2 linked regions of the Canis lupus familiaris genome follow. The protein of the gene in region 2 interacts with the protein of the main gene of each other region in a biochemical or structural test. Links are inferred from orthologs where the notes say so. Each region holds a gene or a part of one and is shown on either strand. Other genes may lie near its edges.

Region 1 (6,520 bases), on a different chromosome or scaffold from region 2:
GGAAGAGGACTCAGCCTCTTTATTACTATGCTCATTAAGTACTTGGCACATGGTTGGCATTCAGTAAATGTTTCTTGGGTAGGTGAGTAAAGAAGACCCCACTTTTTGAGACTCATGGAGCACTATGATATTGATTTTGGTGGTAAAACTTATTTCTAGCTTGCATTGCATCTTCTTGCCTAGATTGTAACTCTGTTGTACTTGGGCAATGGACAACCCTGATGAATTCTTTACATTTCTTGGCTTAGGACTACAGATGTACCCTACATTGGTTCAGCACTGTTGATACACTACAATTAACAGTATTTCCTGTGAGGTACTGTTGTAGTTGTGCATATGACTGGTCCATCTATTCAATCGTATCTTTTTTCAAAGGCAGGAGCTGTCTTGTTCATTTGTCTCTCAGTCTCTCTGCATATATTAATGACATTACAGAAAAAGCATGAGTTAGTATTGGTAGAAGTCTAGGGGCCTGGGCACTCCATGCATATACCCTTTTGTAAAGAGACGTTTTCCCTTTGGTCTGGTAACTGTGCCTAAATTATTTGAAGCCTATAGGACCTATCCTATAATAAAGTGATATAACTTTTTCATAGCCCAGTGATTTGGATTTAGGTGCAAATGATATGCATGAATGATAAAGCATGATTGATTTTCAGTGATATAGCTAGAGAAGATTGGAGGAAGACTTGTCCTGTGAGACCCAACACATGTATATCTGGGTCCTCCCCATAGGAACTGTAATTCCACCCAAGTTAGCCCTATGAAAGTTTGCCATTTGAATATCAACTGCTTGGAGAGGTTTTCTCTGAATGCCCCATATACCTAGCTTTCACCATCACTCTCCATCCTTAACCTGCTCCATTTTTATTTATTCCACTTAATAAAGTAGAATACCACCCCCTTCTCTGTTATATTATTTTTTTACTTATTATCTATCTCTCTCATTAGAACATCAGCCTAATGAGGGCAGGATCTGCCTCTATTTTGGACCCTGCTGTGTATCCTGACCTCCTTTAATAGTGCTAGGTACAAGGTAGAAGTCTTCAGAATGTTGTTTTATCCAGAGTGGCCTGAAGTCACAGGGAACTACCCTTCTTTGCTCTTTAATCTGCTGGTAGAACCACATCTTTTCCCTTCCAGAGCCTTTCAGAGACCACAGATGACTCCTATCACCACTCCTGTACCCATGACCCTACCTGCTACTGCACCAGCCTGGGACAGAGGGAACTATGACAATAACTATGCTTCAGACCTCACACTCCTGTTTCTATGGCCACTGGATGTCATGGAGGCTGCAAGTGGCAATTAAGCTTAGTTTTGTCCATTCATAATTGGAAGGCCTATTTCTCCGTGGAAGAACTCCTTCAGATAAAAAAAGAACCTGTTTTTATGCCTCCTTTCAGGACTAAGGAATGAATCTCTAAATAGTTTGAAAGAAATTCTTGAAACAGATTGAAATATCTTAGTGCGTAAAGACTTGCCTTCTATTCTTGACTCTTCCTCTACCAGCTGTATTTATGGACAAATGACCTCACCACCATCCCCTCCCCAAGCCCTCACCACCCTCAGCGGAGCAATAGAGATGGGAGAGACTTTCCTGTGTAGCTCACAGGAAGAATTAGTCTAAGTGCTGCTTGAAAGAATCAAGGTTAAAAAAAGAAAGAAAGAAAGAAAGAAAGAAAGAAAGAAAGAAAGAAAGAAAGAAAGAAAGAATCAAGGTTCTAATAATCACCCTCGAGATACAACACATTACAGAGCATATCAGCCAACACATGCCCTAAATTCAAACCAGTTTTCTTCACTCCCTGCAGCTGCTGTCACATATGGTGGTGACCCATAGGGTCTGTCGTGTTGCTGCTACTGATGATGACGATAATGATGATGATCTCTTTTGACTCATTTTTCAGGTGAGATTAACACTATTGAATACTTCCTCTGAGACAGACATTGTGTTAGGCACTCAGCAGGCCTATTCACATTTTCTTCAAACAATTAGTGTGTCAAAAAATAGGGGTGTCTGGGTGCCTCAGTTAAACATCCAACTCTTGATTTCGGCTCAGGTCATAATCTCAGGGTTGTGAGACTGAGCCCAGTGTCAGGCTCTGCATTGGGCCTGAAGCCTGTTTAAGATTCTTTTTCTTCCTCTGTCCCTTCCACTCCCCTTCCCCCCACTGGCATGCGTGCTCTTCTCTCTCTCTCTCTCTCTAAAATAAATGAAGTGTGTTATAAAAATAGTAGAGTGCTTGAAGTACATGAATATTAAGTGTATAGCACAGTGAGTTTTCTGTGGATGCATATGCTCCTATAACCGGCATAGCAAAATAGACAATATTCCCAGCATCCCAACAGTCTCACTCATGGCCCTTCCCACTCAGCACCCCCAGAGGTCTCCACTATCCTGATCACCAGGTAGTTTTGCCTCTTCTTGAGCCTCATGTAAATGGAATTATACAGTCTTCTTTGTCTCTGGCTTCTTTTGGTCAACATGACAGTCTGAGATTCCTTCCATGTGTATGTATCATGGTTCATTCTTATCTGTTGACTGAATTCTTATCTGTTCACTGTTAGAGTGAGTCAGACACTGTCTGAAGTGTTTTACATGTATTATCTCACTTAATTCTTTATACTACCCTAAGGTAGGGACCATTATCTTTCTTTCACAGATATGGCTCTGAGAAGTTACATAACTTGCCTCAAGTCACAGAGCTATTAAGTGGTGGAGAGTCAGTTCTGGTTGCAGAGCTAGAGCTGCCTAGCAAGGGCCAGAACTTGACATGCTTTCAGAATTAGATTCAATCAGATTTGTTCCCAGTTTAAACTGAAGGTCATATGATTATTTTGTGGTTATTCACAAAGGGGTTTCTATGGGAACTTTCATTCCATCTGAATATTCCATCAGAACATTTTCACTCCCTTATTAATTGTCAGGGCTTCTCACTCATGCATTTACAGATTTGACTTGCTTGCCTGCCTGTGGCTGCCCTGCTTCAGGACCCAGACCACCTTCTTGGGACCTCTACGGGAGGCTGTTTTCTCCAGCATCACCTGCAAGGTTAAGCTGCTTAAGGATATCTTCTTCCTCCTTTCAGGGTGTGATCTTTGATGAAGGAATCAGAAGTACTGCCTTCTGGTTCTGTGGCTACCTTCCCAGTCTGAGCTTGTAGGGGTTTCTAAGGAAACAAAGCTGAAGTAGATTTTTCTCTCCATCCTGGTATAGCCAGACTTGCAGTCCTCCCACCCTTGAATCTCACCCTATCCCCCTGGTGATGGATGGTCCTCATCTAGGGTGAGCTTGGGGGGTGGACAGCCTTTGACAGAGCACAGGGGTCTGTGAGACAGGGACCAAATTGCTGCTTTGGACAGCCCAGGCCTGGCCCCTGGAGCTCACAGGGGTTGCCTATAAACTCATGCGACTTTTCTCTTTTATAAATTCATCCTCTGAACTCATATCTCTGCTCTGTATAGCTTTCCTTCTAAACACAGTATTCACGCCTTTTCCCCCAGGCTCTGAACTAATCCATTACATTTGGCTAAGACATAGACAATAGGTAAATGCCCCCTTGCAGGCTAGAGAATTAAATAGATAATCTGAGCTCCGTTTGGGTCTGTGGCTCAGTGCATGGGGTAATTGGTAAGAGGCTTTGGCTTTCCTTCCTCCATGCAAATGAAGAGAGTAAGTAAAAGCAAAAAAGAGATGGAGATGGAACCTTTCTGAATGCTGGCATTCGAGTCACTATGATAATCAGAATACACAGCTTTCCATTTAACCCTTTGTGAGCCATTGTCCCTTAGCAACTTCTCTTAATCAGTGGAGAGAAACTAGCATTTGCACTGATGGTGCAATGGACTCCTTACCCAGTGTGAGTTCCTTGCATGGTAAACTGTTCCTTGTTCATCACTATCCTCAGTGCCTACAGATGTTAGCTCAGAGTGGACATTTAATAAATATTTCTCAAATGTTCGCATCCTTGGCAGCGTAAAAGTGATTTGTGTTGGGAGCTATACAATGCAGTAGAAAGATCCAGGGTAAATAGATGATGTGCAAACCATTAGCCCTGGCGATTTGAAGGCTCTGCTGGATTTGGTTTTGGATTCCAGCAACTCAGAGTTCACACATATGGTCCAGATGACTGTGTTCTGGGTTGTTGCCTACCCCCTCTTTCCTCAAGCCATTCATTCTCTATCCTGGGACACCTCAATTTTAAGTTGCCTCTTTTTTTTTTTTTTTAACAAAGCACTCAGTTAAGGGGAGTGCTGGTGCCTGTGTCCATGGCTTCTTGGGGCCAGCCACCCAAATACAGTAGCTGGAGCCAAATGAACCCACAGAGGAGGAAGCCACAGATCTTCACAAAGACTGGCCCTGCTGTCAATTGCCATTTCCTCGCGCTGGCCTCAGCATGGCCTCGGAGAGCACAATATACACAAAATTATAATGTTATCACACAGGCTGGTGCCCACGGCGAGGACAGCCACTTAGGAAGGCGCACACCAGGGGCAGGAAGGCACAAAGGCCATTCGGAGGCTGAAGTCAGATGTATTTATATTTTTAGCAGAGGGGGGCTGAAATACAATTTCAATGAAGATTGCATTATGGATTATTACTTGAGAAAGCTTTGGCAAAGGACTAAGGAGAGTCTTTCTTTTCCAAAGGGGGCTTTTTCCTCCACAGGGGTTAAGGGAGATGGGAGGAAAGAGAAAACTGCTGCTTCTATTTTCCGAAGCTGACTCGGGGTTGCTGTAGTGATAATGTGTGACAGTTTCCTAAGCAAATTTCCATGTGATGTGTGTGTTTGCGTGTGTGTGTGTGTGTGTGTTTGTATTTTATTTGAACAACTCAGGCCCCGTTTGGTAGACAGAACAGATGCTGTTACTACCATTTTACACAGTGGAGACCAAAACTCAAGAAAATGGTGTGCTCACATAATTAGCTAGACCATTATAAAGTCCAACTTTCTTCATATAACTTACAGGGTTTATAAGCAACAGTCATTGATCCAGCTCTTACATGTCACTCTTCCCACTACATTGCCCTCATAGCCAAACCCCTTCCATGGTCAGCTTGCAGGCCTTTAATGTTTCATCTTGCACTTTGCACATGCTTTTCCTTCCTGTCCAGCCTGCCCTCTCCTTCCTCTGTTTCCTCCTTCTCCTTTGGATGTCACCAGAGAAAGGCTTCCCTGACCTCTCAGGACTGGGTTCCCTACCCTGTCTGTATGAGACCATGCAGCCTGAGTTCATCCATAAACTCTTCCATGTTTCTCACTGGATTATAGTTCTCTCCTGAAAAACTAACACCCTGAATTGCTCCATTGATTCTACAAGTGAGTGGGAACAAAATGTATGGGAGGAAAAGGTAAAGGGTTTAGCACACCATAGGAGCCTGGCTGCACTTGAAACACACCCAGATTGGGAAGGGCTAAGTGACACAGTAAATCAGCTGCCTCAGAGCAACTCAAGCACAAATCACCTTTCTGGGGTTCTAATTTCACTCTTCCACTTAAGGTACCACTTGGGACAAATCACTTCACCTTGCTTGAGCTTTAGTTTTCTCATCCAAAAATAGGTAAGCAGGTGGCAGCTGAAGTAAAATAAAAGTGGTAAAGTATACCATAAGGTAGAACTAGCACTAAATAAATCTTTATTAATATTGTGCAAAAAAAAATATTGTGCAAACATCTCCATGATACTGTTGATGAGTGAAAGTCACATGATCTCATTTGTGTAAAAAAAAACAGTTATGAGACAAAAGGACTGTAACACCTTTGACACACTCTGAGAACTGAATTTCAGGAGGTACTCTATTCCTTATAAGACAACAGACAAAAGCAAAGAAAAATACCAACTTCATGGATACAAAAAATTTCACTGTCAGGAGACATTGTGCTCATTCTCATACAGCTTGAAAGTCTTTCATCTAGAAGTCATTCACTGAATAAATGTTTGCTCACTCTCTGCTGAGCACCTACAATGTGCTAGGCATTGCTGTCATGCCACTCCTATATCTGCCGTCATGGCTTTGCTTGCTCTGAGAACCTGGGCCAAAATGCTTGTGCCAGTTATTAACTTATTGGCTTTCGGCTACATACCCATCTTTCTGTACTTGGCTTTGTGATGCTGGGCCTGGGACAAATCCGGATTTCTGCTCCACCTGCTGGCTCCCTCTTAGGCTCTGCCAATAGGGAGCGCTAGAGGAAGATGCCATGGCTGGATGGGGGAAGATGAGATTTAATTCCATGCTTGCTTCTTGTTCCTCTTCCTGTTAACCTACAATGGTTTCTCAAGTTCGGCACTATGGACATTTCAAACTTGGTAATTCTTTGTTGAGGACGTGCTCAACCCTGCAGAATATTTAGCGGCACCCTTCTACTCCACCTACTAAATTCCAGTAGCAATCCCCCCACAAGTGGTGACTATAAAGCATACCTCCAGGCATTGAACAATGATGCTCAGAAGGCAAAAATCACCCTTGCTTTAGAGCCGCTGGGTTAGCATCTAGGAACAGACACTTGTTCACCTC
Region 2 (6,081 bases):
ACAGACGTTAGGGCTGTGCTTGTCCATGTTACCTGACGGCTGGACGAGTTCGTGATAGACAATGATGTCTTGGGCATCATTAAGGTTGTTTACTAGCGTGGCCAGCTCTGATCCAGTGAATTTATTGGCACCGTAGACTGCTTCATTTTCCCCATCTATCCAGTAGACACGATCCTAAAACAGAACCTCCAAATTAGCAGGTACACCTAATGATGACCATAGATACTGTATTCATCTTATTTTCTGGTAATTTAATGAAGCAACTTTACTGAACACTGCTCTGGGAGGTTAGATGTCAAACTGGTGGAAAGCAAGTTGGGGCTTCTTAAAGTGCTAGAGGAAACGAGTATCTAATGCATCCCATGATGGCAGTGAGAGCAGTTTCTCAGGTCATGCTTCTCCACCCATCCTTCCTTTCCCCATCCCTGTTCTGTCCTTTCTCCCCGGGAGTGCTGAAGTAACTCAGAGGTACACACTTAGACATGATGCACACATCTCACCTCAAATATGGTTAGCGCCAGAGGATGAGCTAGGAACTCCAGAGATTTAAGGACAATCCTACGGTCTTGGCCATTTAAGTCCACGCTGGACAACATGTGCAACTTGGAGTCAAGCCAGTAGAGGCGACTCTTTATAAGGTCTAGAGAGGGAAAGAATTGTCAGTGCATGATAGGCCATCACCACCCTGGCTTCCATTGAAAATACCCAGAGAATCCAATATTCTAATCTCATGGTTCCTTCTCCAGCATGGGTTCCAAATGGGGTCCCAGAAACCTGGAGAGGCAGCATGCAGAATCTGTACCCACACTCATTCTGGGGGATTCAAGGAGCAGCTAAGATTTTCAAAGGAGCTGACTTAAGAAATGGTACTCACATTATAGAAGTGTTAAAGGAAGCTAGCATATTGCTCTCCCCTGATGGATGAGAGTTGCCAAGGCCCAAGATGCACTGAATTCATGTCACATATTAGGTCCATATGGACCAAAAAGCTAGTAATGATGGAGCATGTAATTCGTTAAGGCCAGTACTCGACTTGCATTGGTCAGTTACTCTCATCCAAAATTCTTGCTACTAAAGGAACCATGGGAGCTGTCTGCTGTAGTCCAGAATAAACTATGGAGGGAAGCGAAAGCAGCAGAGACCATTGAGTTGGTGGCCAAGGAAGGAAGGACAGACATACCAAGTGTAATTCCATTAGGCCATTGGATGTCCACTGTCACAAGTGGCCGCCTATCAAATCCATTCATTCCTGCTTTTTCTATTTTAGCTGGTTCTCCCCAGTCTGACCAGTACACAAACCTGGGAAGAATTAAATGAAAAAAAAAAAAAAAAAGCCTCAGTGGTTTAGAAGGGATAAATGTGTAATTTGAGACACACATTTAAAGAATGACTACAAAAGTCTAGAGACCAACAGTAACAGGAACAGGTCCAAATTATGTCCTGAGTAAACAGAAGTTAACACTAAGAATATACAAGCTCATTATGAGCTATATTAATCTATCTAAGTGTGATAATTATATTTCAAGCCCAAGTCACAGGTTATAGACTTCTTTACAAAAGGCCAATTCTTTCAGAGAACTGAAAGGTGAATATGTGTTAGGTTCTATCAGAGGGGCTGGCTGACCATTCTAGCGAGGATTTACGGGGGCCAGGGGTCATTACCACAGCTTTAGTAACTTGCTAAGCTGCTTTCCTATATTACTTAGCACCAATTTAGGGAAACATGTCAAATGTTGCTGGAGAGAGCCATTTATTTCATGTAGACTTTCACACAACTTGGACATTTAGACAAAAGCCTTGAAGTAATAACATGGTTACCAAAATCCTCACAACAAGTGCTAATACTTAGGTTCGATCACCTGGAGCTAACCTGACAAAGCATTCAGACTAAAATAGAAAATCACCCAGCATAGAAGCTGGGCGGCCATCAGGGTTAAGATACAGCTTTTGGTGTGCATCAAATATGTTTCCTTCATGTCACCCGGCGGTCATACTGCCAGAGAGGGCCGATAAGGCAGCACACTTGCTTCACTGTGGCACCAATGACATCTTAAACAGGATGTTGCTTTGTTGTGGGGGAGCTGTGTGTCCTGGGGTTTCAATATTATTCCGGCCAGAAGGAAAGCTCCTGGCATACAGATAGCATCCAAAAGGCTAGAAAAACAGACTACAAACCCAGAGAGTGGATCCACAGCTATGGAGGCAGGCTCCCGCAAGTCAGAGTTAAACAGGAACTTCCTTCTGGTCCCATCTAGGGTAGCTACTGAAATAGTCTTAGAAGCCACATCAGTCCAGTAGATGGTCTTGTACACCCAATCAACAGCAATGGCTGCAGGATTATAGACATTGTCGATCATTTTAACATGTCTACCAACCTTGTCATCAATTGAGGCACTGAAACAGAATAGGTCACAAGAAATTTAGGAGTTTGATACCACCAGAGCCTGGAGAATGGGCTTCCTGCTTACAAAATGATCCACAACTTTGTTCAGAAGAAATTCTGGTAACACCATCGCTCACCACTCCAATTATTTAACTGTGCTTCTTACCGATGCTAAATAATACTGTTATGTAGCTGCTGGTACACCTTGATATTCAAGAATGACACATTTCTAAGCAAAGCTGTTTGGTGCAGTGGCTACCATCTGAATTTCTAGAGTTCCCCTTAGGAAAAAGCTGCCACTACCATTTCTATTGGTAGCAACTATGAAAAAGGTATCCATTAATTAGAGAGTAAGGGGTGACAAGAGGAGAAGTGAAGATGTCCTTTGTTTATAATCCTATAGCTACAGCCACCTTTTACTTCATACGTGATGGTTAGTTTCTAATGAGGAACTAATGGTAACTTAATAGTTGAAGAATCAATCAGTGTCCAGACATAAGAGTCCCAGCTAATTAGATGCTAGAGTGGAGCTAGAAATTCCTCCAAACCTTCCCAAAGACCACATGTCAAAGACTTAGGCTGAAGCACTTAAGCAGAGAACTCAAGTTACCTGAAGATGGCCTTTTGGCTCAGATCAGCCCAGAACAGTTTCTGAGCTGCAATGTCTGCATCAAGAGCTACAGTGTTTCTTAGCTGTTCAACTAGTTGAATATATTCTTTCCTCTCCAAGCCAATCTTCCGGATGTCTCTTCGATTTGTGAAGATCAGACTTGGCTCTTTGCCTACAAGACAAGAGTCAGGTTTACTAAGTTTCGCTGTGAGAAGGCAAGGTCCTTCCGAGTCACCTTCTCCCAAAGGAGGAGCATCTATAAAGTAAAGGCACCGCTGAAACACCTGACGAGTGTGCTGGCAGCAGTCCGTGCCCCCAGGAAACTGCAAGCACTTTGCGCTGTTCAAGGAGGCAGTCCTGGGGTCACGGCATTCAACAGGAGGGTGGCTGGCACGTTACTCACAGATTGCACTCAACTTTGGGAAGCAGAAAGTAAGCAAACCTGGTAGGTATTCATGGTATCACATGCAAAAGAAGCTGACCAAAGCAGGTGTCCGGGGAAAGGATCTTTTGTTTAACGTAGGATACGGCACTGTGAATAAGTAGCATTGCTCGGAGTACAGACAGTCCCCGGCTTAGGATGGTTCCAGTTAGGATTTTTCAACTTTACAATGGTACAAAAGTGGTTTGGATTCAGTAGAAACCACACTTCGAGTTTAGAGTTGGGATCTTTGCCCAGGCCAGTGATACGTGCGACCGTCCTCTCTTATGATGTTCTCTCATGATGCTGGGCAGTGGCAGTGAGCCGCAGCTCCCCACCAGCCCCAGGATCACGAGGGTGTGAACATCTAATGCACTGACATCTACCTGCACCCCTGCAAGAATTCTGCTTTTGACTTTCAGTATAGTACTCGATACATTACATGAGACATTCAGTATTTTAGGGGCTTTGTGTTAGAAGATGTTGCCCCCCCCATAAGCTGACTTCAGAGTTCTGAACACATTTAAGGCAGGTGTGGCTAAGCCACGATATTTGGTAGGTTAGGTATATATATATTTATTTGGTTAGGTATATTAAATTCATTTTTGACTTAGGATATTTTCAACTTACAATGGGTTTATTGGAGTAAGACTCTATCATAAGTCAAGGAAGGGCTGTATACTATTTTAATTCCATATTTAGTTGATTCTTGGGAATCACTGGCTGTACCCTTGGTGCAAGCGGTTACTCATAAAGGTAGCAACACCAGTCCAAGTCCATTTACCTACTGCCTTGCACACGCCGGTGGCAAGATCCATCTGATAGCCCCGACTACATTCACACTTGTAACCGCCTTTTAAGTTGATACAAATTTGGCTGCAGATTCCTGGATTTTGGCATTCGTCAATATCTAGGAGGGAAATGAACATTAGTCTTCTGCTCCTACATGACCTATAGTGAGATGCTGTCCTTTCCCATCTCCTCCTCTACTACCCCTACCCCCAACAGCCTCCTCCCACCCGCCCTGCACTAGGGCTGAGGCTCCCTCCTGGACTCACCTCCACAAATTTTCTTATCTATCAGTTCAAACCCAGCTGCGCAGTCACATTCATAGCCTATAACTAGGTCTTTGCAGATGTGCGAACAGCCACCATTATTAACCAAGCATTCATTTACGTCTGAAATAAAAAGGGACCAGAGTTACCCCACACTTTACTCCAAATTGATATGTGCTCTGATTAACATTTACACTCCCGGATTTTTGCAATCGCTTATCTAATTAGTCTGGTCAAACCCATGATTTTCCTAAGGTCCAAAAATTTGTCTTCAAGATCTGCATCTCAGAGGGTTTGGGGAATAGGAAACCCAATCTCCTTGGCAGGTTACCAGCTGGCTACGTAGTACTTAGCCAAGTATCTCCATTGCTGATGAGTTATCTTTAAGGAATTTAAAACTATGAACAAGTCTGTCACTGCTTTTGCTTTTAAGGCATAAAAAAATGCCACCCTGAAGCCCAACAACTGGACTAGGTTCCTTAAAAGTGGTGTAAGCAGGCCCTGTGCAGGGTCCACCCAGCATTAGCTAGGGGTGATGTCATGAACCTTCCCAACTGTGCTCAGGCAACCCCTCCACTTACGACATTCTTTCAGGGGTTCGTCACTCCAGTCCCTGCAGTCCTGCTCCTGGTTACATACTTTACCGATATCTATGCACTCCCCACTTCTGCACTTGAACTTTCCAGGGCCCAAGCACTGATTGACTACAACGAGAAACACAAAAGCAAGATTCCATTTGGTGGGGTTGCTCAGAGCAGTCCTCTGACTGACCCCCAGGAGGAGCCCCTCACCGTTCTTGCAGTTGACTTCATCCGAGCCGTCCACACAGTCCCTGATACCGTTGCACTGCCTGCTGCCATGGATGCAGCTCCCGTCCTCACACTCAAACTGGTCAGGCCGGCAGGTTCTCGAAGCTGCAGAGGCGGTGGGGCGGGAAGGGTCAGCCAAGCCATCCAGGCAGACCCTGAGAGGGGGGCACAGAGCAGGTGGGACTGATAAGGTGGCTACTTACGACAGTTGACCTCGTCGCTGCCGTCTTTGCAGTCGGGGTCCCCATCGCAGCGCCACTTCTTGTGGATGCACTCGCCTGAGCCGCACTGGGTCTCGCTGGCTGGGCACTTGGTGTGCATCACGGGCTGGCGGCCACACTGCTCCAGGGACTCATCTGACTGGTCGGAGCAGTCGGCGTCATCGTCGCATACCCAGCTCAGGGGGATGCAGGAAGAGGTGCTGCACTGGAACTCATGCTCGCCGCACGTGGGGGGCGCGCAGTCCAGCTCGTCGCTGCCGTCACTGCAGTCGTCCTGGCCATTGCAGACGAAGTTCCTGGAGATGCAACGGCCGCTGGAGCAGGTGAACTCGTCCGGGCTGCATGTGATGTTGCCTGCGGGGAGAGAGCAGGCCACACTGAGAGCCTGCGGGACCGGCATGCCTTCCAGGCTCTCGTCTCACAGCATGACATGCGGGATCTCCAACCACCGGCCCTAGCTTTCCAGCTTCGCTTAAAAGCCAAGTCATTCCACCAATATCCAAGTTCCTGGAGGACTAGTAAGCAGTCTCAGTGTGCAAGATGCAGGGACACTTGAGTAAGAAGAGAAATAAAGGACCAAAA

Evidence for each region.
Region 1: the proteins of VLDLR (region 2) and DAB1 form a complex in vitro, tested with the Homo sapiens proteins (2 studies listed by BioGRID). The link is inferred for Canis lupus familiaris from reciprocal best matches to the Homo sapiens genes VLDLR and DAB1.

Annotation. Positions count from the first base shown.
Region 1 is NC_049226.1:51,837,888-51,844,407, forward strand, and holds the start of DAB1 (disabled homolog 1), read left to right. Parts: upstream 1-2,918; 5' UTR 2,919-3,055; intron 3,056-6,520. UniProt on the Homo sapiens protein: Signaling adapter of the reelin-mediated signaling pathway, which regulates the migration and differentiation of postmitotic neurons during brain development.
Region 2 is NC_049222.1:91,939,970-91,946,050, reverse strand, and holds part of VLDLR (very low-density lipoprotein receptor precursor), read right to left. Parts: intron 5,854-6,081; coding exon 5,482-5,853; intron 5,384-5,481; coding exon 5,261-5,383; intron 5,174-5,260; coding exon 5,051-5,173; intron 4,593-5,050; coding exon 4,473-4,592; intron 4,325-4,472; coding exon 4,199-4,324; intron 3,166-4,198; coding exon 2,994-3,165; intron 2,395-2,993; coding exon 2,176-2,394; intron 1,300-2,175; coding exon 1,181-1,299; intron 641-1,180; coding exon 501-640; intron 175-500; coding exon 33-174; intron 1-32. UniProt on the Homo sapiens protein: Multifunctional cell surface receptor that binds VLDL and transports it into cells by endocytosis and therefore plays an important role in energy metabolism.